7 linked regions of the Cricetulus griseus genome follow. The protein of the gene in region 2 binds, or shares a complex with, the protein of the main gene of each other region. Links are inferred from orthologs where the notes say so. Each region holds a gene or a part of one and is shown on either strand. Other genes may lie near its edges.

Region 1 (4,059 bases), on a different chromosome or scaffold from region 2:
ATCCTGTCTCCACCCTCCTTGAAGCTGAGATTACAGCTTTTTTAATAATAAGTAGAGGTGGGAATGAAAGGGTCAGGCATTATGCTGGCCTGCCCATTACCTGGTGGAATCCACTCAGGCAATACCCTGGTCAGCCCAAGGTTCCATGGGAAAGAAGTCTGCACGCAGGTGCAGAGGACCCCTTTAAAAGATAGGCCCCTGCACCTTTACGCTCTGTCTGTCTCTCTCTCCCCGTTTCTCTGTTTCCCCGCTCTCTCTCTCTATGGCGACCGGCCATGGCGGTCAGCCATTACCCTGTTCCTCTTCTTAGTCTCCCCATTCTACCGGGCCTTATAATAAACTTATAGTCAATATGTCTGTCTCAATATTTCTCTTTTCTTCTTTTTAAACAAAAGAATAACATGCAGGATACCCAGTTTGTCGCATGGGTGCTGGGATGCCCTGATCCTCCTGAACCATCTGTTCAACGCCAGTTCCAAAAGGATATGGCAAACCATGTAGGTAATCCCAGCATTTGGGACGCTGAGGTAGGAATATCGTTGAGCTCAAAGCCAGCCCTTGATAAGCAGCAAGACTGTCTCAAAAACATTTAAGGTGAAAAAAAAATATTTTAGAAGAGACAAAACTCGAATCAAGGCCTTAAAGGACGTAGCAATCTAACGTCTCCACAACCGAGCCAGAAAGGGTAAAGAGTGGTAGGCAGGAGATGAGGCTAGGTAGTGTGAGGTCTCTACTTTCAGGTCTTCGCTACCAGCGGTGGCAAATAAATGGCATTCGGGCCTTCGTATACACAGCTGGATTTACGTTAAATATGCAAATCCCCCACACACGATTTACAAGCACAAAGGTTGTTTCTTAAACTGCAACTCTGTGGGAAATGAGTTGGAAGCTTGCGACAGAAATGAAATCACATTTCCAGGATCCCGAATGAGCCAGCCTACGTAACATTTTACAACACGGAGGGTGATTCTGAGGGTTCTCCCCTCGTGGGTGCCGCCTCGGGGGCAGGGGACACCCAGTGTGACGGCTCAGCAAATGCTGTCTGCCGGTCACTCATTTGTACTGCACTAGTACAGTCACGCGAGTAGGGAGCCCGCCGCCTTCGGCGAAGATGCCTGCACTCCCTCGCTTCTGCGCCTTCTCCCCTCATCCCCGCCTTCCCTCAGAACCGACCCGCTCTACAACACCAGTGTCCGCCTTCCCGGCGGTCCGCGCCGCGCTTCCGGGGGCGGGGCCCAACCCCGGTCGGTTTCCACGGCCCCTGTGCTTTGGCTGAATTCAGCAAGGCCGGTCCCCGGAAACTGGACTTCTACTTCCGGGTCAGAGCCATGGCGGTGGCAAATTCAAGTCCAGTCAATCCGGTGGTCTTCTTTGATGTCAGCATCGGCGGCCAGGTGAGGTGCGGGAGGCCCGGCGGACCTGCGCGGCTGGGCAGGACACGGGTGAGGGAGGCAGCCGAGACTGGCTGGGCCAGGGCGGCCGAGGTGGGCGCTTCCGAGCTGCGTGGGCTGCGGTCGTGGACTGAGCCTTCTTGCGTCTCCCGTCACTTGCAGGAGGTTGGTCGCATGAAGATCGAGCTGTTTGCAGACGTGGTGCCTAAGACGGCAGAGAACTTCAGGTGAGGAGATGCTCCACTGAATCAGCGTGGCTGAGCCCGAAGCCGGCCTCGGGGCGCTCTTTGCAATGTCTGCCTCTGTCCATCCGTCCACTGCCTTGTGCTCTGTGCTCTGTGTATTATTGCACTGGCCGAATAGCTACCGGGTTTGACCGTTCCTGTGTCAATTTGTGATATTAGTTTACATGGCTGCATGCCCTGACATCCGGCCGACCAGTTAGTGGACTTGCTGGCCCCACTGTTTGTACCCTCATCTCCCGATATTAGAGATGCTCCGGGCAGCGATGGCATGGTAACTGTTCATTGTTTCTTTCCTTTTAGGCAATTCTGCACTGGAGAGTTCAGGTCAGTCTCAGATGTGTTTGACCTCTATTCCTCCTACTCCTGAAGGGTGTCCTGGAGGTTTGGTGAGGGTATTGGGGAACCATGGGCAAGTCTTGAGTGGTGGAAGATGATATTCAGAGGGTGTCTTCTTTATCGATGCGTTCTTTAGCTTGCTTCTATCCAAATCTTTCTGAGAGTCCTTTTAGCCTCCAGTGTGTCCCAAACGGAAAGGACCCATGGTTATTTGTCATCACTCCAAGTCTTTCTTTTTGGTTACAGAAAAGATGGTGTTCCAATAGGATACAAAGGAAGCACCTTCCATAGGTAAGGCTTTTGGCAAACTGTTAATGCAGTCATCACTTGGTATCTGTGCAGGCAATCCTGAACACCTGAGTACACCTATGGTAGATTAGGTTTGTTGTTTAAAGTGTCATGTCCAGGGCTGAGGATGTAGCTTGGTGGTAGAGAATTTTCCCAGCATACCTGAGACCCTGGGTTCAATACTCAGCACCACAGGCACCGTAAGTCATCCTAGATGTAGAAATGATGGCAAGGAAAACACTATCAGTTGGGTGCAGGTGCAGTTCCATAGGCTTCTATACCCAGCTTTTATGTGGGTTCTAGGGATCTGAACTCAGGTCCTCATGCCTCATTAACAAGGACTTTACCCACTGAACCATCCCCCTGGTTCCAGGTAGAGGCTTTGGTAATAATTACTATTATCAGGCAGTCATCTGCAGGAACCTGACCTTCTTGAATGCCTTGCTTTCTGTGTTTACCAATTTTTGTTAGGGTTTGACAGAAGTTGTTCCACTTTAATCCTGAAATTTTTGTGTCATCCATATCAGGGGCTTTAGAATTATGGTCTTTAATCCTTCCCAGCATCCTTGTGAGGTAGTATGTGTAATCTGCCTTCTTTAAGGAAGGAAACTGGGGCTAAGAAAGGACTATGCCTGGGTATATAACAGCTTACATTACCCTGTGTGTGTGTGGCAGTCCATTTCACATATATTTGCTGTTGTTCTTTCTTTCCCCCCAGATTTTCATTAAGCCCTTGACTTTTTTTTTTTTTTTTTTTTTTTTTTTTTTTTGTAAATATGTTATTTCTTCCTGACAGGTTTCAGCCCTTTTCTGTTGTTCAGGTGCTCACTCATATACCTTAGATCAACACAAAGATGCCCCTGGAGCTTAAAACAAGTTATGGTTCGTAATCCCTCATCTTGCTCAACTCCAGGGGTGAAGACTCAGTCTCTAAGCCACGGTGATAAACATTGTACTTCAGAAAAAATTACTAAGCTGCTATGTTGGTGACCAAACCACTGAATCCTTCCCTCGGGAATTTTTTGTTTGTTTTGTTTTTACTCTGTTTCAGGGTCATAAAGGATTTCATGATTCAGGGTGGAGATTTTGTTAATGTAAGTACTGCTGTTTTTTCTTTGCTATTCTTCCTATAGGGCTCCAGTCTTGAGATTTAAGAATAATAGCTAAGTTAAATGGAGAGAGCATGGACTAGGGGATGCACTGTAGAATTGCTGGTACTGCTGACTGTGCCCTTAGAACATATACCAATACTAAACTTGAATCATTAACTCCCATTGTCCAAACCTGAGCTTTTTTGTTACCAAAAATTGGACTTTGCTAGTCTACCTATAGACAGATGATCTAAGACCACATTCTTTGACCACAGAAAACTTTGAAATTAGCTGCAGCCCCCCTCCCCCACAGGAAGTGAGCCAACTGCTTGTATGCCCTATTTTTCCTTCCACTTCTGGTGTCCCTCTCTAAAATTGTAGTTTTTTGTTTGTTTTTGTGGTCTGTCTTTTTTCCTTTTGAAAGCTGAGGGGTTTTTTTGTTTTATTTTGGTTTTTGTTTTGTTTTGTTTTTTGTTTCTCAAGACAAGGTTTTTCTGTGGTTTTGGAGGCTTGCCTGGAACTAACTCTCATAAGACTAGGTTGGTCTCGAACTCAAAAAGATCCGCCTGCCTCTGCTTCCCGAGTGCTGTGATTAAAGGCGTGCGCCACCACCACCTGGCTGATAACCACAAGCCAGTTAGTGGCAAGGGGTCAGGAGAGGCAGGCAATTCAAAGGGTGTTTGCTCTGCTTGCTGAGGTAGCCCAAGG
Region 2 (4,218 bases):
TCCTGGCACTTGGAGAAACAACAGGACCATAAGTTCTAGGTTATTCTTGAATACACAGTGAGTTTGAGGTCAGCTTGAGCTACATGAGACCTTGTCTCACACAAACAAATAAAATAAAATTTAAAAAATAAGCTTTGATCCCAGCACTCAGGAGGCAGAGACAAGAGGATCTCTGAGTTTGAGGTCAGCCTGGTTTACAGAGTGAGTTACAGAACAGCCAAGGCTACACAGAGAAATCCTGTTTTGAAAAACCAAAAGATAAAAATTAAAGACTATAGGGAGCTGCTGAGGATTTAACACAGTGGTACCACATGCCCTTAAGCGTAGCACTCGGAAGACAGAGGCAGGTGGCAGAGGCAGGCAGATCTTTGTGAGTTAGAGACCAATCTGGTCTACAAGAGCTAGTTCCAGGACAGCCTCCAAAGCTACACAGAGAACCCCTGTCTTGAAAAACTTAAAAAAAAACAAAAAAAAAAAAAACAAAAACAAAAACAAAAACAAAAACAAAGCATGAGAGATCCTGGAGTCAGTCCCCAGAAGTGGGGGGGGGGGGATTAGGTAGATGCTTTTCAGAAGCAAAACAAACTTATACTTTCCACCAAGGCCAACAACTTAGGTTTGATCTCTGAGTCCCACACAGATGAAAGTTGTCCTGATTTCCACAAACAGAATAAATATTTGTAACTAATAATTTAACCAAAATTCTTGTGCATCACCCTTTCTCTTTCCAAACACAAGGCCTCATCCTCTGGTTCCAGCCTCACCTGGTCTCCAAGAGCAGCCTGGATAAAGCTGAGCAGCACCTCATAGGTCTCTCGCGTCTCCTTAGTTTTGGGCTTATAGATGATGCCCACCATTTCATCAATGCCCTCTGACAGCAGCGTATAACCTTTCATCTTGTTGATGTCATGCCGGTCCTCATCACGCTTTCTTCTCCTAATGAACACAGGGTGTGATGCTCAATGGGAGAACTTTGCGCCCCCAAGTCAAGTTTACCTTTTCTTTTCTTTTCTTTTCTTTTCTTTTCTTTTCTTTTTATAATTGCAATTAGACCAACTTTAAATTAGAAACCAGCTTCATTTACATGTCAATCCCAGTTCCCTCTCCCTCTCCTCCTCCCCTGCCCCCCACCCCCGAAGTTTACCTTTTCTATACATCTAATATGTGCAAGCAGGAACATGAATCAAAATAAGTAATTCCCACTTGACTTTAAGCATTTGAAGAAGTATTTATTTCTTTATCCTCATGAGGAGATAATATAATGGTATTTCAACTTTAAAAAACAAACAAACAAACAAAACCTTTTATTAGCCAGAGAGGCTAGGCTCCAGGGGAATCTACTTCTATGACTCCCAATAAACAGCTAGAAAAGAAGCCAGATTCTGAAAAGTGAAGGACCAAGGAATGTTTCTTCTCAAATTTAACAATTCTCTCAAGTCTCAACAACTCTCCCCAATTATAACCACTCAAACTAAACAGGGCCTGGGGACTGTTAAGACTTCACAGAAAGAAAAAGGAGAAAGAAAGCACAGTAGGAGAACATGCAACTTTTGAAATGGATCTATCAAGATGAAAAAACGGGAGAGACAACAAAACAAAAGCATCAGGAAGTGGACAACAACCGGAGGGAGTTAGGGTAAGAAGCTTTTAACAGTGGTAGTGGGGCTGAACTGCTGAGACAAGAGATTAACAAGGGTCTGGAAAATAGTTGGTGACGGGGCTGGGGAGAAGGTTCAAGTAGTTAGAAGCAATACTGCTTCTGCAGAGGATCAGAGTTCAGTTCCCAGCCCTCCAAACTGGGTAGCTCACAACTGCCTGAAACTCCAGCTCCTATGTTCCAAACTGTCTTCTGGCCTTCACAGGCATTTGGATGCATGTGCACATACTCACAAAAAAACACACATGCACATGATTAAAAATGAAACAGATTTTTAAGAAAAAAATAGCTTGAAGAAAATTAGCATCTACCTATGAATCAGAAACAAAAAGTACTAATAGATTTTTGTTCCATTTCATTGCACCCAAGTCCAAAGAAACTTTAAACCTTGAAGAGGTTTTCATTCTCTTGTGCAAACACCGCTGATCTTCCACAGGTACTTCATCAAAACTACTGCTCAAATGTTCAAGATGCGCTTTAGACTACAAGGAAAATATAACACCCCGTTGGTACCTACTTGGCCCGTCTTTCCTCCTGCATCTGTGGTTTGGTGCGTTGAGCCTTATCTCCCATCCGAGTTCCCTCCAACTTCCCAACCAGGGACAGAACCTCTCCTGTCGGTTCATCCCGGCGGGTCCGGTCAATAAGTGAGCGGTCAGCTTGGAGCACAAGATTTGAGTTCTGAAAAGATCATACTTAATCAAAACTTTAATATATAAATAGCTTCGGTTCCTGTTATCACAGTGACACCTGAAGATGGAAAAATACTGGGAAAAAGGAATAATCCCCTTAAGAAGAAACAGTATAATAAAACGCCAAGCACCGGACTGTCTGGTAAAGTGAACGATCAACGTTCCTAACAGTAGTCACAATAACCCACATTAGGTGAAGTGTTGAGCAGATTTGGGGATAACGAGTAGGAAGGGGCGGTTTGAGGAGACTGGGAAAAAACCTCCCGAGTCCTCACGCGCCCTAAACCCCACTAGAGTTATTCCGTCGTGTTTTAATCCAGCCTTCACCCAGATCAGATATTCCGTCCGTGTTTGTGGCTACCCACGGCCTCCCTCGCCCGCAGCCCTCCGCCGAGACTTCACGCACCGCCTTGTACTCGTACTGCAGACTGCGGGCAGTCACATCCGCCATGGCTGCCGATGCTCCGGGAACTCAGGGTTCCACTCTCCACACGCTGCGAACCGCCTCAACAAACCGCGCCGGCCCAGCAGGAACGACGCAGGACAAACGTGCGGGACAGAGAAAAGCAACGGACTCCCTTCCGCTTCCGGGACGTACGCTAAAAGTGATACTTTCCGGCGACTACGCACCGCCACTAGGTGGCGGTTGCAGAAGGTAATACATCCGGGTCAGGGATTCCGTGGACCTAGGAAACACGCTCCTGCGCAATATGGTTCCAAGGACCTATACGTACGCAGAGTCACGAAGCCACTTTTAGTGTGGTGTTAAAAGTCCCTTTCTGTAATACACTTTTGCTTTCTCAGTCCAGCGGTCCCGTCAGGCAGGCAGGCAGGCATGCTTGCAGGCAAACGGAAGCTTAGGAGCTCCGTTTATTAAGGATGAGAAAGTTGAAGGAGCAAGTTAACATGCTTCTAATAACTGACTGGATTTCTCTTCTGTATTGAGAAATTGGGGAAATGTTTGCTGCCCCCAACGCTTTTCCTCAAGAGTCAATCGCTGTGGCAGCTGACTGAAGGTGAAGGAAGAAATATTTGCACCCAATGATCTGTCACAGTCCATGTCAGGATTATAGATACGGATTATTTGTTCTCAATGTGGCACAAACGCTACATTTACTAAAGAAATATATGAAAAGTCTATTCAGATATACTATTCAGATGTATTAAGCAGTAATGATACATTTTATGAAATGGCGGTATCTAATCTTTTAATAATTCTCTACATTGAAAACAAAACAGCTATTTCTACTTTTCCCTTTAGGTTTAATAAGCACAACTGACCCTTAGGCCTGTGTCTTAATCCACTGAGCCATCTTGCTGGCAATTTTTATTGTTTAATCTGTTTATCATTACTTTCGTTTTATTCTATGTATATGGGTGTTTTGGCTACGTGTATATCTGTGTCTGAATGTATGTTTGTGTGTCATGTATGCGCAGAGCCCAAGAAGGCCAGGAGGAGGTATTAAATCCCCTGGGACTGGAGCTACAGATAGGTTAGGAGTTGCCTTGTGGGTGGTGGGGTTGAAACCTAGGTCCTCTGAAAAGAGCAGCCAAGTGTTCATAACCATTAAGCCATCACTCCAGCCCTTCTTTGGCTTTTGAGAAAAGATCTTTTGGAGTCCAGGTAGGCCACAAACTTGCTCTGAAGAGACTTCTCTGCATGCTATTATTATTGTTGTTATTATTATTATATTTATTATTTATGTTTATAATGCAAATAATATATAGAATATTTATATATTATATCTTAACATATTACTAACAAAATATTTATATTATATTTATTATTATTTTATTCTATATTATTATTTTTTATTGTTGTTATTTGTTTTTGAGGCCAAGCTGGCCTCCAATTTGCCTCTGCCTCCC
Region 3 (4,094 bases), on a different chromosome or scaffold from region 2:
CACCACCACCCCCTAAAAAAAAGAATAGCCTTGGTGGACATCACCTGCCCAAAGACGGAGGCTTCCAGACAGGCCAGTGGCCTGGTAAAAATGAGGCAGAGAGAGCTGAGGACTGCTGGCAGGGTGGGGAGCCCTGACACACTTTCAAAAGCTCATGCCCAGCCAAGAGCGGGATGTGGGGACAAAAACGTCAAAGGGGGATGTGGGCCACATGGTGGAGAGGCTAGGAACGCCACGCCTGGGTAATGTCTTAACTTCTTAGCCAATCAAGGAAGAGCATGCCAGTTGTGCCAGTGTTGGGAAGGCTGAGGCTCAGTTACAAGTTCAATGCTAGCCTGGGCTATAAAAGGAGATCCTGTCTCAAGATTTTGTAATCTTGAAAAAAAAAAAAAAGTATTTGAAAGAACGATCCAGACCCAGGGTCCATGAGAGAAGATGAATATATAGAATAACGTGCACAGGCCACCCTGTGGGCCATCCGCATTAGAACCCAGCAACTGCCCCGTGTGCCCGAGGCTGCAGCCCTTCACGAACCATTGGGACTGGAGCCTGATGCCACAGAAACAAACAAGAAATCTAACAACTAAGCCAAGTGTTGTGACGCAGGCCTGGCATCCCAGCACTTGGGAGACTAACAGGGTGTTCAGGGCCAGCCTGGGCAACATGGCAAAGTCAAGAGACCATCCTGGGCTGCAGCGCTTGTGGGAGGCCAGCGCGCATTACAGAATGAGTTCAAGGCCAGCATGCGACTGTGTCTCAGCAAGCGACGCTCACCAAACGTCCTGCCTCGGCACCGGGTCGGGGCGCATCCCGCGGCACCCGGAGGCCCCCACGGGTCCCCCGCGTGTTGCATTGACTGACCCAGAGGTGAGGAACCCCTCCTGCCCAAGGTCACGGAGCAGAAGCCGGGATGCAGGGCTGCAGGCACCCGGGGACCCTCCCGAGCCCCTGGGGGAGGAGGACGGGGACTCGCCCCATTCTGCAGAAGAGGAAACTGAGGCTGGCAGGGGCGGCGGCGGCAGTTGGGGCCCCGGGGCGCAGGGCGGGCTAAGCCCGGCCCGAAGTCTGCGGTGGCGACAGCGAGGGGACGACAGCAAGGTCTCGGCCACGGTCACGAGTGGTGCAGCCGAGCCGACCAGCCGTGGCGCTCACCTGGGCCGCGAGCAGCAGCAGCAGGGCCGCGGCGAGCCGCGCCGCCGCCATGTCCGCCTGTCCTGCCGCAGCTCTAGGCGGAAGGTTTCCCGGCAACGCCTTCGGGACCCCGAGACGCGCACGCGCCGGCCCTGCGCGTGCGCGGGCCCGCCCCTCGCTAGAAGTGGGCGGTGCGGAGCCTGCGCAGAGCAGCGCAGGTCGGCAAGATGGCGGTGAGCATTGCTGGGTCGCGGAGAGAGCGGGGTTCCCCCCGAGGGACTGTAGACGCGAAAACTGGGGGCACAGGAGGACCAAAGAGAGGGGGGCGGACACCCGAAGACGGATAGGGAGACAGGGACGCGGAGGAATAGGAATCACGTGGGACTGCACACCGGGCGTCTTGAGGAAGCAGACCGGGAACCTGGGGAAGCAGACCCGGAACCTGGGGAAGCAGACCCGGAACCTGGGGAAGCAGACCCGGAACCTGGGGAAGCAGGCGGGGAACCTGGGGGTGCAGACCCGGAACCTGGGGGTGCAGACCGAGGAACCTGGGGGTGCAGACCGGGGAACCTGGGGGTGCAGACCGGGAACCTGGGGGTGCAGACCGGGGAACCTGGGGGTGCAGACCGGGGAACCTGGAGGGTGCAGACCGGGGAACCTGGGGGTGCAGACCGGGGAACCTGGGGGTGCAGACCGGGGAACCTGGGGGTGCAGACCGGGGAACCTGGGGGTGCAGACCGGGGAACCTGGGGGTGCAGACCGGGGAACCTGGGGGTGCAGACCGGAGGGGGAACCTGGGGGTGCAGACCGGGAACCTGGGGGTGCAGACCCCTGGGGGTGCAACCTGGGGGTGCAGACCGGGAACCTGGGGGTGCAGGCAGGGGACATGAGGATATACACAGGGGGCATGGGAATAGAGAGAGATGCAGACTCAGCGACCTGGAATTTAGTTGGGGGAACATGGGAGATGGAAATGAGTTTGCAGACAGTTATGAGGGCTGCAGGATGGTCAAAAGGAGTCGCTGGGTGCCGGGTCCAGGCAACAAGGATATGGGAAGACTGGGTCTCACTCCTCAGCTCCTCCACTCTCCAGCAGGACAAAGAGAAAAAGAAGAAAGAAAGCATCTTGGACCTATCTAAGTACATTGACAAGACCATCCGAGTGAAGTTCCAGGGTGGCCGGGAAGGTGAGTGGATGCAACAGGGCCCCTAAGAATCGGGGTTGCGACAAGCAAGGGAAAGCCTCACAAGGCAGGCATTTTAACTCTTAACAAAGGCTAAGCTTGGGCCATCCTGTTACTTGAGAGGTACCAGTATGTCTCAATTGTGGATGGGGAAAATGAGTCCCAGGGAAAGAAAGCCAGGTGCGGTAGCACCCACACCATTATTGCTGGAGCCTGAAGGAAGAGGCCAGAAAGCTGGGAGGACATAGAAGAAGGAGGCAACAGGGGGATGGAAGGAAGGCATCCCTTCAAGAGCCTGGAGGTAGCAGGGACCCAGGAGGTTTCCAGTAGCAGGATCAGGGAAAGTTCCAGCCAGTCTGAGCTATGTGGCAAGACCTGTCTCCAAAAATCAACCAGGGCTAGGCTATAGCTTGGTGGATAGAGGGTTGGTTTAGTGTGCATAAAGCCCTGGATTTTATCTCCAACACCATGGAAACCAGGTGTGGTTGTACAAGCCTGCTATTCCAACCCTAGGAAGGTAAACACAGAATCGGGAAGTTCAAGATTATTTTCAGGTTGCCTAGTGAGTCTGAGGCCAGCCTGGGCAAATGATACTCTCTCATACAAATGGGAGGGGAAAAAAGGCTATTTTGTGTTACATGGAAACTATACAGAATTCAGTTTGGGGGATGATAACATTTTATTGACACTTGGTCCACCATGAACTCACTATCTATGGCCCCTTCCACACTTGTAGGAAGAGAGTTGGGGGTCATAGTCAGCAGGCCACCACATAGGGACATGTCTCCCCATGAGTTCTGTAGTGATAACTGTCCCCATGCCTGGGTCTGTAGTGGGAGGACAATAACATCATCCTTACCCATCTCTCCCTTCAAGCCAGCGGGATCCTGAAAGGGTTTGACCCACTGCTCAACCTGGTGCTGGATGGAACCATTGAGTACATGAGAGGTGAGCTGGCTGTGGTTGTCCAGGGATGCCACCAGGCCCTGTTTCTTCTCCACACCTGTGCAGTCACATTGCCGCAGGTGGTGCTGACCTAGGGTGCAGGTCCCTCCCTGATCACCAGAAAGGTGACAGGCCCACCATGATGGCCCCAGGCTTGAGATTTCAGCTCCTTCCCCTCAGCCCTCCTGGGGATGGCAGAAATAGTAGCTACTGTCCTCTGTCTGGATTGTTTGCCTGTGTCACCAGCTCCAGGACGCATAGGATCTCAGCTTATTCCAGAATAGTACCTGTAATGCCCAAAGAGTGTCCCTTCCTCTGCACCCACAACAATTACTTTCTAATTGCTCCCTGTCTCCACCTCTGGTCCATCCTCCCCGGGGCCTCTGCTTCCCCTGCAGACCACTCCTTGGGGTGAGTATCTGCCCTGGGTTCTTGTAGTATCCATGCCTACAGTCGGCTCTGAGACCCCAGGGCCTGGGTGTGTCAGTCCCCAAAAGAAAGATGGGACAGCCCTCTGAGGTCCTGGTTGTGGAGTGCTGGGTGGAAAGGACATGTCTTCAGTTCCTCTTGCCTGTCACCCCCTATTCCCACCAGACCCTGATGACCAGTACAAGCTGACAGAAGACACACGGCAGCTGGGGCTTGTGGTGTGCCGAGGCACCTCAGTGGTGCTCATCTGCCCACAGGATGGCATGGAGGCTATCCCCAACCCCTTCGTGCAGCAGCAGGATGCCTAGGTGGAGAGCGATCTGGCCCCAAGGACCTTCCTTCCTGTGTGAACTTTGTTTGGTGTTTTACTTTTGGATTTTGTTTCTGGTTTTTTATTTTGTTTTT
Region 4 (3,878 bases), on a different chromosome or scaffold from region 2:
TACCCATGAAATCTTGAACCATCATTTTCTGGAGTATCAGGTCCCTTATGTGAAATGGGCAAAACACAGCAGTATCTCCAAGGTGAAGGAAAGTGGAGGTGATTTGCTCAGTGTGTTTGTTTAGCTAGTGACTTTCACTAAGTAGTAACATCCAGTGAACTGTATGGCTGGTTTGTGGTTCTTATTATTAAGTTAAAAAAAAATTATCCTAACGGTGTCCTGTTTTAGTTTGTGTTCTTAGTGCTAGTTCCTGGACCATGTGAGTTTATTTACTTGGAAATACTAGTGCCTGGGTGTTGCTTGCAACTGCACAATAGTCAGATTTTCAGTAAAGGTTTTCCCTATTATAAAACAAGTGAGAGGTAAGCTCTGTGTTGTGACTGCTTCGGAACGCAGAAGATATTGTACTGCCAGGGGACTAACACTGAGACATAAGTACTTACCTGGCAGCTAAAATGGCTGTAAGCTGATTTGCATGTTTTGTCTTTCTCATTTTCTTTTCAGGGAACACTAAAAGGTTTTGACCAGACTATTAATTTGATTTTGGATGAAAGCCACGAGAGGGTATTCAGCTCTTCACAAGGAGTGGAACAAGTGGTATTAGGATTATACATCGTGAGAGGTGACAATGTGTAAGTAAAATAAGTCATTTTGAGTAAAGTTACTTTTTCACTACGGGTGTGCTTGCATTATGGAAGAGAGATTTCCCCCAACTTATATGTCATCCATGTGTAATAGAATTCATCTGTTTTGCAGCTATAGCTTATCTTATTTTTAATTTATTCTTTTTATGTTGAGGTAACCTCAGGAACCAACTAAAGTTGTCTCTTCACAAAGTAAACATTGACCTACTGAGATTTGAGACTTGGCTTTTGAACATAGTCTTACACATACAGAACAACAGTCTACTGCTGATCTGTGTTCCCCAGCTCTCTTTACTGTTTACATCCTGAGACCAGGCTTACCTAAGTTGCTTAGACTGACTTTGAACTGTAGATCTACCTGTTACTACAGCCTCTGAGTAGCCTAAACCACTATTGTGTTGTGTGTTTCTACTAGGAAAGTGGCATGGATAGGCCCACAAAGGGCCCTGCTTTGTACCAAATTTTTCCTTAAAGAGGCTTCTTGACATTTGGAAAATCTCCTTAAAAAAATCTCCCGTTTGAGCTATTTTAAAAAATTCAGGCTCATTTAGCTGTCACTGTTTTTATTGACTGGATATACTTAATATGTCCCATGAAAAACCTATAGTCTTCTTGAATTCAGGACACTGACAGTCTAGTTTGAGAAAACTTAGACATGGCAATTTGAGAAAAACTGAAACCATTTTGAACAGTGCTATTCAAAATATTCATTTTTCTAATGATGGAAGTCTTGAATGTCAACATTTTCCAGTATTATATCTACTTGCTTTTGTAGTTGTCATATTTGAAAAATGGTTGGTGACCAAGGAACTAAATTTTAAATTTGGTGTTTTTGTTTTTTGTTTTAAATTGAATCTCTTAATGTAACCCAGGCTGACCTGGAACTTGCTATATGGCCCAGACTTCTTTCATTCTCCTTCAGCTTCCCAAGTATTGGGATTATAGGTTCATTCTGCCTTATGTGGCTAAAACTTGAATTTTAATGTCTCTAGAATACTACGAAGAGTCAAAATATTACTACAGACAGCAAGTTTAGGTTTGAAGGGATATGTAAGATGATAGGAGAAGTGATACTTAATTCATTTGGTGATCTGTAAGATTAGTTATTAGTGAATACTGGAAGTTTATCTTAAAATGAATATGTGCTTTATTCACTTAATTTTATCTGAAATCTGTATTTTGTAAGTAAGTTGATTGATCCTTATCAAAATGTTCTCTGGAGATGACTTGGGTGAAATTGTGGCGTGAGTTGTAAAGCGTGAGCCTGAGCAGAAGGGCCCTTATCCCCGAGCAGCAGAGCAGAACACTGCAGTGCGAGTGTATGGGCTGGATGATTTGTGTTGCCTACATCTGTGTTACAAAGAAACCAAACTGAACATTTACCACAAACATACTGAGGCTAGAGCCTGCTTTTAAGAGCTCAGGAAAACAGACTTTTGTTTGACTTTGAGTGCAGCAGACCAGCCACTAGTTTTCCAAAGATCTGATGTTCAAACACTTGCAGTATCTCTTTATTGTTTGTTCTTTTAACACTACCTGAGTGTTAGGACTTCATTCAGTGAGTCATGAAATGGCTTTTGTTTCCCACCTCGTGTAGTCACTGCATCTTCCCAGTTCCTCACATTTGGAAGAGTGAAATGATGCTGTAGTTAATGGGGTTTTAGAAATGTATGGGAGTTCACTTCAGCATGTGTTTAACTCTGTCTTTCCCTCATACTGATAATAGAGCAGTCATTGGAGAAATTGATGAAGAGACAGACTCTGCACTGGACTTGGGGAACATCCGAGCCGAACCTCTGAACTCCGTAGCACACTGAAGACACAGTGTGTGGTTAGATGTCTGTAAATCCTGTACAGAAACTGCGTCTTCTGAAGATGACGTTTAGATTTTTTTATGAGTGTGTAATTGTGGATTTTGACTTTGTGTTGGTACATTGTAATATGTAAATTTAAATATTTCTACATTTTTATTGGGAAACATTGCCTAAATTAATAAATGCAGTTGCCTGATTTATTTTTCTACTAAATGATAGATCATTTTGAAAACTTAGAAAATACCATTACTTTTGGTAATTTAATATTTATGGAAAATTGGCTGTAAAGAGAACTTAGGTTATTATAGTAACTTATGCATGCAAGTAATAGTAATAAGAGACACGTTTCTTTCTGTGTTGAGCTGTAGATGTTTATCCCACTGCCCTAGAGTTCTACATTGGTTGAAAAATTGCTCTTTGTCTAAGAGATGTGAATTAAAAATTGGTTGAATAGTGAAAAACTTGCACATTAAAATTGCAACAAAAATTAATAGGAAAGTAAGAGTGACTAGGAAGATGTGGATAAATCTTCAGATGCTCAGGAAGGTCACAGAATTCAGTATCTAAAACCAATTCCATGTATGTTAAATGCCGTTGGACTGCTGAAACCTACAAAGAGAAATGGGGAGTGTCAGCCATTGAACGAGCTTTTGTTCAGGGTGGGTGTTGACTTAAATGCAGAGCTGTGCTTTGCTGTCTCACTCCTTCACGTGCTCCATGAAGCTGCTTTGGTAACCTTGACTTTTCAAAGAATTCATGGAAGTGGTGATGGAGATCATATTTATATATGTTAAGCATTCCCAGAACTCATCTGTTTCCTGTGTGGGCCAAAATGGTTATCTTTGGATAGACGAGAAAAAATGTGTACATTCTTGTAATTGAAATAAAACTCATCTTTTTAGTGTTTTCCATTTTTTTAAGTGAAAGTGCAAACATTTCTGTAAAGATGCAAATAGTAAAACTTTGAGGCTTCAAAGGCCATGTGGTCTCTAACAGTTGCGGTCCTCTCTGGTTACATCGTAAGCAGCAGTAGGTAACCCGTAAGTGCAGTCTTGGTTGTCTTCCCGATAGAACATCATTTTCAATGCAGGCAGGCTGTATTTGCCCAAATGGCATAATTTTATGACTTGGCTTAAGATATTTTTAGAAGGAAAGGATAATGGACAGTTCCTGTAAGTTCTGGAATGCCCCCCCCCCCCCAGAGTTCAGACATGAGCTAACACTCAGATTCGATATAATCATTTTGGTTAATTAAAAGAAAAACAACTTTTGTGAGGAGAGGTTGGAAAGAGCCATCATGCCTAGCCTGTACTGTAAACTTTTATAGTCAGTAACAAGATGAATGTGATGAGAATGGGTAGCGGAGTGTAGGGACCATGAGCCAGAGACACTTAATACACAGTACTTTAAATTTTGAAAC
Region 5 (4,087 bases), on a different chromosome or scaffold from region 2:
GTGTCAGGATGATGACACTACAGGTGACCAAGAGTGAGCATGCTATCCTTACCCCATGCTAGCCCTATCAGACTCTTAAGCAATTTGAAATCTGCAAAGGAAGTAAGTAGAGCATCAGGTCCATTGGCTTGATTTTACATTCATGGCAGCACCGTAGAGAGAACACTCAGCCACTGATGTTCAAGAGTGATAGCATTTCTCTGCTTAATCATTTGATTCTCCAGTTAAATCTGTTAGGCCCACAGGTCCTTCCCATAATACCTGGTCCCACTTTACCTTTATCATTGGTCAACAGCAAAGGGTACACTATTTGAAGGAAGATAAAAAGATTTTTATTGTTGAGTGAGAATAGCTTGGTTAATGAGGAAGGGATTTCCTAAAAATCTGCATGATTGCTTTCACACATACAAATGCAGCATTCATATTTATATTCATAAGTAATTTGTCATGTTTCCTCAAAGGGGGGAAAAAAATCCTTTTCACCCTTATGAAGAGCCATAGTGACATCTACTGTTCACAAGAGGCAGCTCACGATGTTAGCTAGTGCAGGGACTCCTTCCTTCCTTTTTCCTTTCCTTTCCTTTCCTTTCCTTTCCTTTCCTTTCCTTTCCTTTCCTTTCCTTTCCTTTCCTTTCCTTTCCTTTCCTTTCCTTTCCTTTCCTTTCCTTTCCTTTCCTTTCCTTTCCTTTCCAAGATGTGGCCCTTTAGCCGGGCGTTGGTGGCGCACGCCTTTAATTCCAGCACTAGGAAGGCAGAGGCAGGCGGATCTCTGTGAGTTCGAGGCCAGCCTGGTCTCCAGAGCGACTGCCAGGATAGGCTCCAAAGCTACACAGAGAAACCCTGTCTGGAAAAAAAAAAAAAAAAAAAACCGCAAATACAAACTACATCAAATATTTTTACACAGAACAACATTTTACCTGGGTAAAAGACAAAACTTCAATACTTTAGCATCAGGCGCAATAAAATAAAAAGTTCTCTATCGTTTTTTAAAAACTGCTTAGGATCTCCTTGTTATTAATAAGCATTAAGCTTCCGGGAACAGGTACCGCCCCTAAGCAGGGCTTAAGGCTACCGCGCTCCCTCTGCTCCCGCCCTGCTCCTGCAGGAGCTCCAGCTTCTGCGAGACCCGCCCCTCCGCCTGGAGACTCCGCCCATTCCCGCCTAAGCCCCGCCCAGCTCCTCCCGGCGGAATTTAAGATTGGGCTCTCAGACTCGAAGCTCCACTCAACTCCGCCAAGTCCTGCCCTCGACCTCTAAGACAACGCCCCTCTCCCCTCTCCGCGCGAGGGTGGCCAATGCGCGTGCGCGGGTGGCGTCACATCCGCCGACAGACCCCCAATCTCCGGAAGGAGCTGCAGAATAGTGGCGGCGATTTCTGCGTCCATCATTTGAGTTTCTTCCCTGCTGGAGGAGTGAGCTAACCCGGGGCGACATGGTGGAGGTAAAGTAACGCCTGGGGGTCGTTTATCTCTGGAGCTTTGCTTTGCCCACGAACGTGCAGGGTGAACGTGCTGGGAAAATAGGGAAAGGAGCTTTAGCCAAGGTTGGTGGTCCCGGGATTTCGGGGCGAGAGAAAGGCCAATGACATTTCGAATCCGAGGTTCGGTCGGCGGGAAGCCTGAGAGAACCTTGAAGTCCCTGTGTGTCCCTGGGAGCTGGCGCTGTCCTCGGAGGCGGGCCTTCCGTGGATGGGATGCTGGTCCAAGCTCTTGTCAGTTACTGTTACTTAGGTTCTACTGGAGTAAAGCTTGCCCTTCTTCTCTTTGGTTTTTCGAGACAGGGTTTCTCTGTGTAGCTTTGGAGACTATCCTGGCACTCGCTCTGGAGACCAGGCTGGCCTCGAACTCACAGAGATCCGCCTGCCTCTGCCTCCCGAGTGCTGGGAATAAAGGCGTGAGCCACGAACGCCCGGCTAAAGCTTGCCCTTCTTAATTTTCTGTTTGTTTTTTTTTTGCATATCCCAAGCGTTTCTTAATTTCACCCACTGCATTTCAGCTCCCCTGCAGTCTTCCTAATCTAGCCCAGCATCTTTTGCTGGGACTGATGAATTAGCTTCTAGCTGGTCTAAGGGCTGGTGCTTAGCGAACACACTGAAGGAGTGTGTGGTTCGCTTGTCTAGCATGCGCAAGGCGCTGAATTCTGTCTCCAGTACCACAAGCGTAAATAAAATATGAATTGGTCCTGCTTTTCCTGCTTAAACCTCCTTTCTGGTTCAGTATTACTAAAATAAAAATGTAGGTGGTGACAGCAGTCTGAACCTCACCGGCCCTTGATGCCTCATTTTAGGGAGAGGGATTGGAGATAGGGTTTCTCTGTGTAGCCCTGGCTTACTTGCATTCGTTTTGTAGACCAGCCTGGCCTCAAGCTCACCTGCCTCAGCCTCATGAGTGCTGGGATTAAAGGCATGTGCCACCACTGCCTGTCCTTGAAGCCTCATTTTGTACTACAGCCCCAAATCCCACAGCTTTCACAACTGTGCTGCAGTTCTGGCATTATTTGAACACCTTTGCAGTGGCGTTTTCCCTCAGTTTGCATGGTTCATACCTCTGTTCCGTGTAAGACTGTCTCCCTTTCTGTTTAAATACCACCTCATATAAATCTTTCATAATTATCATTTCTATTTTTTCTGTGACTCATCCCATTACCTGTTTTCATAGAGCCTCCCAAAATGTGGAATTGTTTTCCTTATTTTTGACTGTTATTTCTTGAGCACACTACATGCCAGTTACAGCACGAGCTCAGTAAATGTTGATTAAACAAATTACTATCCTAGGCTTCATTCACTTGCTTTGCCCAAAGCTCCAGCCAGACAGGAGCCTTCTCATCTTTGTTGTTGACTGCTGTACTTTGTTACAGATTTGTGTGGAGTGTACATCCTTCTGTGTATTTAACATAACCATTCTAGTGTGGATAAGAATGTGTGCTTCACTTGCAGTTGGATGTGTGATTTTGGTTGTTTCTTTACAGGAGGTGCAGAAACATTCTGTACACACACTGGTGTTCAGGTCATTGAAGAGGACCCATGACATGTTTGTATCTGATAATGGAAAACCTGTGCCTTTGGATGAAGAGAGGCAAGTTTTTATTCCTTTTTAGTAGTAAAATATTTGAACTTTGAACTTTTAATAGTGGTAGAATAGCGCAGAGAGAAGGTGACCGTTTGTTGTTGTTGTTGTTGTTTTTTTTTTTGAGAGAGAGAGAGAGAGAGAGAGAGAGAGAGAGAGAGAGAGAGAGAGAGAGGGTAACTTTCAAAGGTCTTAAAGTGGTACTGACACTCATAGGATACTTGGGCAAGTGGCTTTTAGTCATAATATCAGTAGAGTTTACTTGTTATTTTTCTATTTTATCTTTTTTTTTTTTTTTAAAGATTTTACTTACTTATTATGTATACAGTCTTCTGCCTACATGCCAGTAGTGGGCACCTTAGATGTGCCCTCTTAGATCACCTTAGATCTGTAATGAGATCACCTTAGATCTCATTACAGATGGTTGTGAGCCACCATATGGTTGCTGGGAATTGAACTCAGGACCTCTGGAAGAACAGTCAGTGCTCTTAACCGCTGAGCCATCTCTCCAGTCCCTTGTTTTATCGTTTACAGTAAAAATACCATTAGCTAGTCATAGAAATGCCCACTGTAATGGTTTTAAGGAGAACAGCCCTAATAGGCTCATGTATTTGAATGCTTGGTCTGTAGTGGGTAGAACTGTTTCAGAAGGGTTAGAAGTATGTCACTGGGGTCGGCTGTGATATTTCAAAAGCCCACACCATTCCCAGTTAGCATGCTCTTGCTCCCCCAACACCCATGCTTGTGAATCAGATAGAAGCTCTTAGCTGTGCTCCAGCAACATGCCTACCTGTCGTCTTATGCACCCCAGTATGATGCTCAAAGACTAACCCTCTTGAATTATGATCCCCAGATTAAATACTTGGTATGTAAATTACCTTGGTTATGGTGTTTTGCCACCGAAGTAGAAAAGTAACTATGTTACCCAGTAATTCAGAGCATTCCTGTTAGGTTATTTTATTTTTAATGAATCACTTTGAGTTTTCAGCTTCTTGCTCTGGAGCCTTGATGAGCTGAAATTG
Region 6 (3,985 bases), on a different chromosome or scaffold from region 2:
CTTGGGTGTGCACTGCTGTGCCCACCACTGTGGTGCCAGAGATGTTAATGCACACCAGGCATGCCATCAACTGAGCCAAATCCTCAGCTTCCAGTTTGATTTACAAAGCAGCCTGTTTTAGGGACAGGGCATAGCACTTTTCTTCTCTGCAGACAGTTATTTGATTTAAATGTGACTTTACTTGTGTTCTTAATTTTATATTTTACATTTCAAGAGCCTAAAATGCTGTCTTATCAATGTCTGTAGTTGACGGTCTTCGAGTCAGCTGAGGTTTTACAGAGGATAGAAAGATATGGCTGTTCCTTACCAAATCTCAGCCAGTTCTCTGTCTGTGGCACCAGTCACTGGTCTGTTTCTTTCGCCATTCACTAAGAGGCTCTTAGGAAAGGAGGAACCACTTTCTGTCTCAGGAAAAAGTTCTGCATTGTAGGACCTGTAAGATCTAACAGGGTGTGTAGCTGTTGTTTGAAGGTCTTATAACTGTGTTGATGATTAAACATCAGAAACAATTAAAATATAAATCTTAAATACAATATAAAAGAGAAATTAAAATATAAATGTAAAATATAAATGAGAGCATGGGTGTAGAAAAAAAGGAATCAAGTCTTCCTGTAATCTCTTCCTTCCATAAACAGTCAGCATACACTAAGAATTCATGCATTATCCCCAACCAAGTTCCCCCACAGCACTTAAATGGTATCTGCATGCTGTTTCCAATTAAACTAATTTGTAATGTCTTTTTACAATTGGCGCCATTGTAATAGAGTTGCTTTAAATTATTTATATTTTTGTAGCAAAATTGCTATGGAAACAATCTCTAACAGTAACTTAAACTTCATACATTTAATTAATATTCAGAAGTCGGTTGGGAGCTTGAGGCTTTTAACTTTTATTTGCTTTAAATTATTTAAGGCTATTTGGGGTACTTAATAGCCTATTATTTTAATCGTAAGTTTCTGTTTCCTGTCATTTTTAAGGTATTCTTTACTGTATTGGAATCTCAAAAGATTACTTCTAAATTTTTTTTCTTGGTTGTTTTGCTTTTGATTCGATTTTCTGGCAAAAAAAAAAAAAAAAAGACGGCAACATCAGAACACCGGCATTTACTTCAGCCCCTGGATGCTGAATTCACCACTGAAGAAACCAATTCTTGGAAGTGAGCGTTATGGAACGGCCTGATCCTTTTGGTCCCCGCGGGCTGCCGTAGGCAAGGAGGCCGCTGATTGGGTGAGGCAGCGAAGCGCGCTGCCGGGGGCGGTTTCGGTTTTCGCCGCGCGCGTCCGCGGAGGCCCGGCCTGTGAGGGCTCCGGATCCGGCTGCGAGGTGAGCCCGCGCGCGGCCCGGGAGGGAGGGGCGGTGGGGCGGGTGGGTGCTTGGAGCGGAGCGGTCGGCCTAGGCCGCGGAGGGCCGGGGCGGGCGGGGTTGCGGCTGGAGCCCAGGCCGGCCTGCGAGCAGCGGAAGGCCGTCAGGGCCACGCGGCCTCGCGCTCCCGCGCCGTGCGGTCCTGCCGTGCGCGCGCCGGGCGCCGGCTGTGTCAGCCCGGGTTAGGCGGCCGCCGCTCCCGCGCCCCCCTCCTCCGTGCGCGCTCGAGTCCCTCCACACGAGGACACGAGGAGCCGGGGAAAGGATCCCTGCTGGGCGCTTCCGTCTGCCCACTCCTCTCCTCCTGTGTGTGCCTGCTTCTCTTTCCGCTAGTACTACCAGAAATACTCGGTCTTCTGTCTACGTTAAACACATGCAGCCAGGTGTAACTTTAACATTCATTGCTTTTGTTTTGTCATTGCCTGGGTCCCATAAGTGACTCCGGTGTTTCCCCGATGGCTTCATCTTAGCGTCCATGCGATCCTGGGATGCACTTCCCGCCCTTGACTCTATTTCTCACCATCTCCTTGGACAAGTTCTCAGAGGAGAAGTCATTGGGTTAGATAGTTCTTGCACGTTGCCGGGTTGGTTCTCTTTAAAGTGTTAGTAAATTACCTCGTTCGTGTGTGACACCGGTTCTTTCACCAAATCCGTGAACACGCCTCCTGTGTTTCTAACAGTAGCAGAGTACAGCCTCTCTTTGGAATCGTTACTGATCTCGTTTAAACTTGCACGGAGTTTCTCAGTCTGGCCTTGAACTTTGGATCTTCCAGCAGTTGTGGTTCCGGGGTTACTTCAGGCATTGTTATTTTTTATTGTAATGCCTGTCGTTCTGCCATCAAGGTTTTCCTGCCGAATCTTCGTAGGAGGGGCAGGGAGAGAGAGAGAGCTGGTATTAACTGTGTGTGTTGGTATTACTGCACAACTTAACCACGTGCTTACTGGTATTCTCTCTCTCTCTCTCTCTCTCCCTCCCTCCCTCCCTCCTCCCTCCCTTCCTGTCTCTCCCCTCCTCCTCCCCCGTGTGTGTGTGTGTGTGTGTGTTGTGTGTGTGTGTGTGTGTTGTGTGTGTGTGTGTGTGTGTGTGTGTGTGTGTGTGTGTGTGTGTGCGGTGTGTGTTGGTATTAACTGTGTGTGTGTTGGTATTACTGCACAAGTTAACCAGATGCTGGAACAGAAAGACATAGTCAGTAACCATCTAGCATAACTCCCTTATTTTTCAGATGAGCCTGGGGCCATGAGAGGTGAGATGGGTAGCAGAGGAGATTAGAATACAGGTTACCTGCCTCCCAAGTGAGTACCCTTAACTACTGCATCAGGTCTTCTCTCACTGAAGGGTGGCCTAATAGAATTTTTTTTATTTGATTTTTTTTTTAATTCCCTGGCTTGCTTTCTCCTTTTATAATGAAGGACTGGAAAATAGAAAAGTCACTTTTTTTGTGTGTCCAGAACTAGAAATTTATTAGAATGCCAACCCATTCAAGATTTTAATGGTTGTTTTCAGGTTCTCAGTGTTGGGATAAAATACTCCTGATAAGTAAGACAGTTGTCCCTCAGTATCTGAGAGGGACTGGGTACAGAGCTCCCAATATTAAAAAGTGCATGGATATTCAAAGTTCCATATGTGTGTTTGCATATAACCTATGCAGTCTTCCTATGTTGTTCACATCATCTCTAGATCACTCACAATGTGTAATAGGATGTAAATGGTTGCAATGGAATATTGCTTAGGGAGTAATGACAAGGGAAAAGCCCTTTAGCTCTGTAACAGGTAAAACCATTGGAGCTGTAATTGCAACTTCATGTTACTAGATGTTGGCTGGATACACAGATAAGGAGAGGTGACTAGTTTATGTACTCATCATCTGGTTCTCATTTACATCTTGATTATTCTAAAGTACCTTGCTTGTTGTTTAAACCAGAAAATAAGGTTTGAAGAGGAGGGGAGGAGGTGGTAGTGGCAGTCATTCTGTGAGTTGACACGTTGCATCATATAGTCCTTTGTTGTAAAGGACTAGACTCTACACCAGTGGTTCGCAGCCTGTGGGCCGAGTCCATGAAAGACCCTTTCATGGAGATCACATAGCAGATATTTACATATGATTCATAACAGTAGCAAAATTACATTTATGAAGTAGCAATGAAAATAATTTTATGGTTGGGGTCACCACACATGAGGAATTATATTAAAGGGTTGCAGCATTAGGAGGGTTGAGAACCACTGCTCTACACTGTAGACTGTTGAGGGATGTCCTTGGCTTCTCTTCACTAGAGTCTGATTCCCGCTTTGACAATACATAATGTCTGTAGACATTTCCAAATGTTCCTAGAGGGTGGGGCACAAAAATCACCTTTGGTTGAGAACAACTTGCTCTTAGGAATTACCGTAGGCAACTTGATGTCAAAGTGCTTATGGTCAAGCCTGGCAACCCGAACTCAATTGCTGAACCCCACTTAGTGTAAAGAGAGAACAGACTCCCAAAAGTTATCCTGTGGCATATGCTTATTGCCCCTGCCCCACTAAATAAAACAAATGAATAAAAGCAATAAAAACAAAAAGCAAAGGACAGCCTTTTGGCTGAGTTAGCTACAGCAATCTGTGTCTGAACAGGCATCTTTGTAG
Region 7 (4,167 bases), on a different chromosome or scaffold from region 2:
GTGAGTTCCAGGACAGCCAGGGCTGTTACATAGAGAAACCCTGTCTTGAAAAACCAAAATAAAAGAATGTATTTGTAATTGCCCCGACACCTAGTAGGTACACGAGATTTATGGAATGGGGTTTGTGGGGAAAAGCCACCACTGGCTTGAAATTGAGAATGGAGTGGAGTTTCCAAGGATCCCTAGAGGCATTGCTTTATCTATTAAACTTCATAGTGCTATATACATACAATTTATTTGTCCTTCTTCTCACTCACTCTTGTAGAAGACTTTTCTGTACATTGCTTTATATACCCAGCGAGCTGCTAATTAAACGGTGTATGAGGGGTGCTTACCAAACACTGTAAAAATGAATGGTGTTGATTATGATCTCTCCTATTCAGATTGTTTAAGTCCCTCAGACACAAATGAGACAACCGAAGCTAAAGAATTTGCCTGCTGCTTTTTTTTCTTTTTAAGTAGGGACAACCCAGGTCTCATGAAGTCATGAATGCTAGGAAAGCACTCTAGTGCTAAGCAAGGTGGTTAAGCTCTCATTAGTTTTTATTTCCTATTTCGTGTCAGGGTCTTACTAAGTTGTCCATGCTTGGCAACTGTGGCCTCCTTCTGTTTCTTAAGCGCTGGGATTGCTGGCCACTCCTCACAGCAGCTTTTTATCTTTTTCCAAAACACAAGTGTGATAGCATGTTTTCCAAATGTGATGACACCAACATACGGAGTGACATCTAGCAGTTACCTGTAAATCAATAAGTGTTAGTAACTGCAAAAGCCTGCAATAAACTAGACTTCTAAAAGGACAAGAAGAAGCCGGGCATTGGTGGTGCACGCCTTTAATCCCAACATTGGGGAGGCAGAGGCAGGCGGATCTCTGTGAGTTCGAAGCCAGTCTGGTCTCCAGAGCGAGTTCCAGGACAGTCCCCAAAACAATACAGAGAAACCCTGCCTCGAAAAACCAGAATAAAATAAAGTAGCAAAAATTAAAAAAAACCTTTGAATACTCGGTATAGAATATTTTTAAAAGATGCTTCGTAAGGGTTTTCAGTACTCTAGGCTTAAAAGTACAGGATTCCTTAAGAAAATGAGTAGTAGTTGAGACAAACGCAGAACGAGTTGGTGATAGCAAATCCTCATTGATTTTATGGCTCTGAAGAAAGATCCAACCTTTTAGAGGAAAACTAGCCGACTCAGAGATCTCGTATGTTGTAGTCTTCAGGCAGATATAGAGGAGACAAACTGTCAAGTTAGCAAAACTTCGGGGGCACGGGATGGTGGCACCGATATAGTGCGGAACTATTCTATCGAGTCTGTCGGTGATCCATTTGGATACCCCGCGATCGCCAGATCTGCCTCCGATTAGTTCCGTCTGAGCCAGTTGTGGGAAAGGGCGGAAGCGCGCTCTTTTAAAGTCTGCGCCCGTAGCCCTATGCCACTTCCGGCGTGGCCATGGCGGCTAACGCGACCACCAACCCGTCTCAGCTCCTGCCGCTAGGTAAAAGTCTCGCCCGGGGCGCGGGCGGGTTGCTGCGGCCCCACGCCCGCGCCGGAGGCTTGCCCCTGGGGCCGCTGCGGAGACCGAGCCCGTTGTCTGTCGGCGGCCGGCGGGGGCCCCACTTGGTGAAGGACGCCCTCGGCCTTGCTTGTGAGCTCGCCGGTTAAGATGTCCCGGTGCCGGCCCAGCTCGCAGTGTGGCCTTTCCGGTCTACACCTTAGGGAGCCCCTGTATTGCATTTGGCGGTGTGAGGAGGGCGCCACGGTCTACAGTGACTCCTAGAAAGAAATCTGGAGACTAGCTCCGTCATTCGTTCGTTCATTCATTCATTCATCCATCCATCAAGCAGTTCCCTCCCCGTGCCAGGGTACTGTTGAATAACGAATTTAAACTACGGCCATTGCTTTCAGATAGCACACTGAAAGACTTCGTGCCGAGCAGTTCTCGGTTGGCCACGGAGATGCTCAGGTTGGTCTCCAAGCACAGAGCTAAAGGCAAGATGAGAGAAGTGACAGGAAGCTGGTGTCGGTCGTGAGGCCTCTCCTCTGTCATGTTTTGGCGCCGGTGAAGTTAGTCAATGTGGCAATGATGGAAAGTTCTTGCAGGGTCCACTCCAGGGTATGTTCATCGGCAGAAACACTGATGAGGAAAAACTAACATGGTTTCCACCTTGTGGTGTAATTGTTTTTCATACATTAACCAAATAGTCAAAATCACAGTCCCGTTAGTTGCAGCAAAAAAGGAGGTAAGCGAAGGCCAAGACAAACATTTGTGCTAATGGCTGAGCGGAGATTTGTGTAAGATGTAGTTATTTAGTGACTGCTTTTTGTTTCTCTTTAATGATACGGAAATAGTAAAGTGAGCACTCGAATGCTTGTTGAACTAATAAGTGGGTAAAACAATCTTTTTCTTTCCACAGAGCTCGTGGACAAGTGTATAGGATCAAGAATTCACATTGTGATGAAGAGTGATAAAGAAATTGTTGGTACACTTCTAGGATTTGATGACTTTGTCAGTATCCTTTTAAAAAGTGTTCATGGAACAGGTTTTTAAAGATGTATTAATATAAGAGCTGTAGACAGATGACATATTTCTGTTTATTACATTAAAAATTATTTATTTTCCAGGAACTTGGTAACATTTTAAGAGGTGTGCTTGCAGAAAGCAGATAGGGTTCTCTCCAACAACAAACCTTTTGAATTTGCACCATTGTGTTGAACATTTTTGCAACCAAACAAAAACATAAACCAGAATAAATTCAACCTTGTTTATTTTCTTAACAACAAATTTCAGATATGGTGTTGGAAGATGTCACAGAGTTGTGAGTAGTATTAAAAATGACAAATAAATGGGGGAGGAGAGGAGGAAATATCTTTTTGAATTAAAGGCAGGTACCCTAGTTCCTTTTCTGTTACTGTGAAGAGACAGCATGGCCAAGGCAGTTTATAAAAGAGAGCGTTTACTGCGTGGGCTTGCTTACAGTTTCAGAGGGTTAGAGTCCACGTTTTTTCATGGTGAGGTGTGTGGAGGCAGGCAGGCAGGCAGGCAGGTGTGGGGCTGGAGCAATAGCTAAGTGATTCTATGTTGAGATAACCATGAGACAAACAGAGAGCCAACTGGTTATAATTTATTCTTTTGAAACCTCAAAGCCCACCGCCACAGTGACACACCTCAGACAAGGCCACTCCTCCTAGCCATTCCCAAACAGTTCTGTCAACGTGAGCCCGTGGAGGCCATTTTCATTTAAACTACAATAGCAGGATTAGTATGATGGATAAAGTATTACCTGTTGGAATTCTTTTAATGCTGACTTATTTACCGGTATTTGTGAGGTTGGGCCAGAAGATTATTATCTTAATGTCATTATTCCTGAATTTCTAAGAAATTAGTGTAAACACGCTTTATAGTGACTTTACATTTACTTCTATATTATATCTTTGTAATATATCTTTATATTTACTTCTGTATTTATGAAGTTTTATATTTACATAACTATTATCTGGTGGGCAGACTGTATTGCTGAAAATTATTGTAATTGTATGAGTTCACATTCATTCATATGTAAGAATAACAGTTTTGATGCTAGGGATTGAACCTAGGGCCTTGTGCTCTGCCACCCAGGTGGTGCTCTGCCACCGAGCTAACCTCTTTACCCCAGGAATAATTTTTAGAGAGGAAAAGCGTTTCCAAAATAATTGCCTTTGAATACTTGTTTATCCTGACTCCATTTTTTATCTATTTAGTGAAATTACACCAGAAGGAAGAAGGATTACAAAATTAGATCAGATTTTACTAAATGGAAATAATATAACGATGGTAAGACATTAAAGCTGTTTTATTTTGAATTTAATTACTTTTATAGGGCAGGGATTACAGAACACTGCTGCTTAGCTCAGTGTTCACGGTCTAGACATGCTGAGGATGGGAAGGGAGCCTTCAGTGATCAGTGCCCCAACGCAGCTATTGAAAGAGCATTGGGCCTTAAGATTCATTTGCTTATTAATCTTTATTACCTTTAGTTCATCAGGAACCATTGTTGAAACTCTTAAGCATCAATTAATGTTGGGATTACTAGCAGATGTTGATGATCTGGGAAATGGGAATTGAAGGATAGGGGAGAGACAGTGGTGGCTTTGGTCCATGAGGAGCACATGGGGAGTTTTAGGTGGTATGATAGT

Evidence for each region.
Region 1: Snrnp200 (region 2) and Ppih share a complex: the UniProt entries of both Homo sapiens proteins name them as parts of the U4/U6-U5 tri-snRNP complex. The link is inferred for Cricetulus griseus from reciprocal best matches to the Homo sapiens genes SNRNP200 and PPIH.
Region 3: Snrnp200 (region 2) and Lsm7 share a complex: the UniProt entries of both Homo sapiens proteins name them as parts of the U4/U6-U5 tri-snRNP complex. The link is inferred for Cricetulus griseus from reciprocal best matches to the Homo sapiens genes SNRNP200 and LSM7.
Region 4: Snrnp200 (region 2) and Lsm8 share a complex: the UniProt entries of both Homo sapiens proteins name them as parts of the U4/U6-U5 tri-snRNP complex. The link is inferred for Cricetulus griseus from reciprocal best matches to the Homo sapiens genes SNRNP200 and LSM8.
Region 5: Snrnp200 (region 2) and Plrg1 share a complex: the UniProt entries of both Homo sapiens proteins name them as parts of the minor spliceosome. The link is inferred for Cricetulus griseus from reciprocal best matches to the Homo sapiens genes SNRNP200 and PLRG1.
Region 6: Snrnp200 (region 2) and Lsm6 share a complex: the UniProt entries of both Homo sapiens proteins name them as parts of the U4/U6-U5 tri-snRNP complex. The link is inferred for Cricetulus griseus from reciprocal best matches to the Homo sapiens genes SNRNP200 and LSM6.
Region 7: Snrnp200 (region 2) and Lsm5 share a complex: the UniProt entries of both Homo sapiens proteins name them as parts of the U4/U6-U5 tri-snRNP complex. The link is inferred for Cricetulus griseus from reciprocal best matches to the Homo sapiens genes SNRNP200 and LSM5.

The regions. Positions count from the first base shown.
Region 1 is NC_048595.1:32,848,409-32,852,467, forward strand, and holds the start of Ppih (peptidyl-prolyl cis-trans isomerase H), read left to right. Parts: upstream 1-1,259; 5' UTR 1,260-1,328; coding exon 1,329-1,394; intron 1,395-1,553; coding exon 1,554-1,618; intron 1,619-1,936; coding exon 1,937-1,960; intron 1,961-2,218; coding exon 2,219-2,263; intron 2,264-3,311; coding exon 3,312-3,354; intron 3,355-4,059. UniProt on the Homo sapiens protein: PPIase that catalyzes the cis-trans isomerization of proline imidic peptide bonds in oligopeptides and may therefore assist protein folding. Participates in pre-mRNA splicing.
Region 2 is NC_048599.1:51,367,703-51,371,920, forward strand, and holds the start of Snrnp200 (U5 small nuclear ribonucleoprotein 200 kDa helicase), read right to left. Parts: upstream 2,801-4,218; coding exon 2,756-2,800; intron 2,339-2,755; coding exon 2,175-2,338; intron 937-2,174; coding exon 765-936; intron 1-764. UniProt on the Homo sapiens protein: Catalyzes the ATP-dependent unwinding of U4/U6 RNA duplices, an essential step in the assembly of a catalytically active spliceosome. Plays a role in pre-mRNA splicing as a core component of precatalytic, catalytic and postcatalytic spliceosomal complexes.
Region 3 is NC_048598.1:101,634,295-101,638,388, reverse strand, and holds the start of Lsm7 (U6 snRNA-associated Sm-like protein LSm7), read left to right. Parts: upstream 1-1,294; 5' UTR 1,295-1,358; coding exon 1,359-1,364; intron 1,365-2,224; coding exon 2,225-2,318; intron 2,319-3,191; coding exon 3,192-3,263; intron 3,264-3,854; coding exon 3,855-3,997; 3' UTR 3,998-4,094. Other genes in the region: Sppl2b (signal peptide peptidase-like 2B), read right to left, coding at 1,153-1,203. UniProt on the Homo sapiens protein: Plays a role in pre-mRNA splicing as component of the U4/U6-U5 tri-snRNP complex that is involved in spliceosome assembly, and as component of the precatalytic spliceosome (spliceosome B complex).
Region 4 is NW_023276806.1:207,800,356-207,804,233, reverse strand, and holds the end of Lsm8 (LSM8 homolog, U6 small nuclear RNA associated), read left to right. Parts: intron 1-504; coding exon 505-632; intron 633-2,370; coding exon 2,371-2,461; 3' UTR 2,462-3,378; downstream 3,379-3,878. UniProt on the Homo sapiens protein: Plays a role in pre-mRNA splicing as component of the U4/U6-U5 tri-snRNP complex that is involved in spliceosome assembly, and as component of the precatalytic spliceosome (spliceosome B complex).
Region 5 is NW_023276806.1:71,283,989-71,288,075, reverse strand, and holds the start of Plrg1 (pleiotropic regulator 1), read left to right. Parts: upstream 1-1,287; 5' UTR 1,288-1,432; coding exon 1,433-1,441; intron 1,442-2,967; coding exon 2,968-3,074; intron 3,075-4,087. UniProt on the Homo sapiens protein: Involved in pre-mRNA splicing as component of the spliceosome. Component of the PRP19-CDC5L complex that forms an integral part of the spliceosome and is required for activating pre-mRNA splicing.
Region 6 is NC_048596.1:154,693,812-154,697,796, reverse strand, and holds the start of Lsm6 (U6 snRNA-associated Sm-like protein LSm6), read left to right. Parts: upstream 1-1,185; 5' UTR 1,186-1,323; intron 1,324-1,726; exon of another isoform or gene 1,727-1,745; intron 1,746-2,585; exon of another isoform or gene 2,586-2,655; intron 2,656-3,985. UniProt on the Homo sapiens protein: Plays a role in pre-mRNA splicing as component of the U4/U6-U5 tri-snRNP complex that is involved in spliceosome assembly, and as component of the precatalytic spliceosome (spliceosome B complex).
Region 7 is NC_048601.1:84,604,422-84,608,588, forward strand, and holds the start of Lsm5 (U6 snRNA-associated Sm-like protein LSm5), read left to right. Parts: upstream 1-1,367; 5' UTR 1,368-1,443; coding exon 1,444-1,489; intron 1,490-2,408; coding exon 2,409-2,504; intron 2,505-2,782; coding exon 2,783-2,810; intron 2,811-3,732; coding exon 3,733-3,805; intron 3,806-4,167. UniProt on the Homo sapiens protein: Plays a role in pre-mRNA splicing as component of the U4/U6-U5 tri-snRNP complex that is involved in spliceosome assembly, and as component of the precatalytic spliceosome (spliceosome B complex).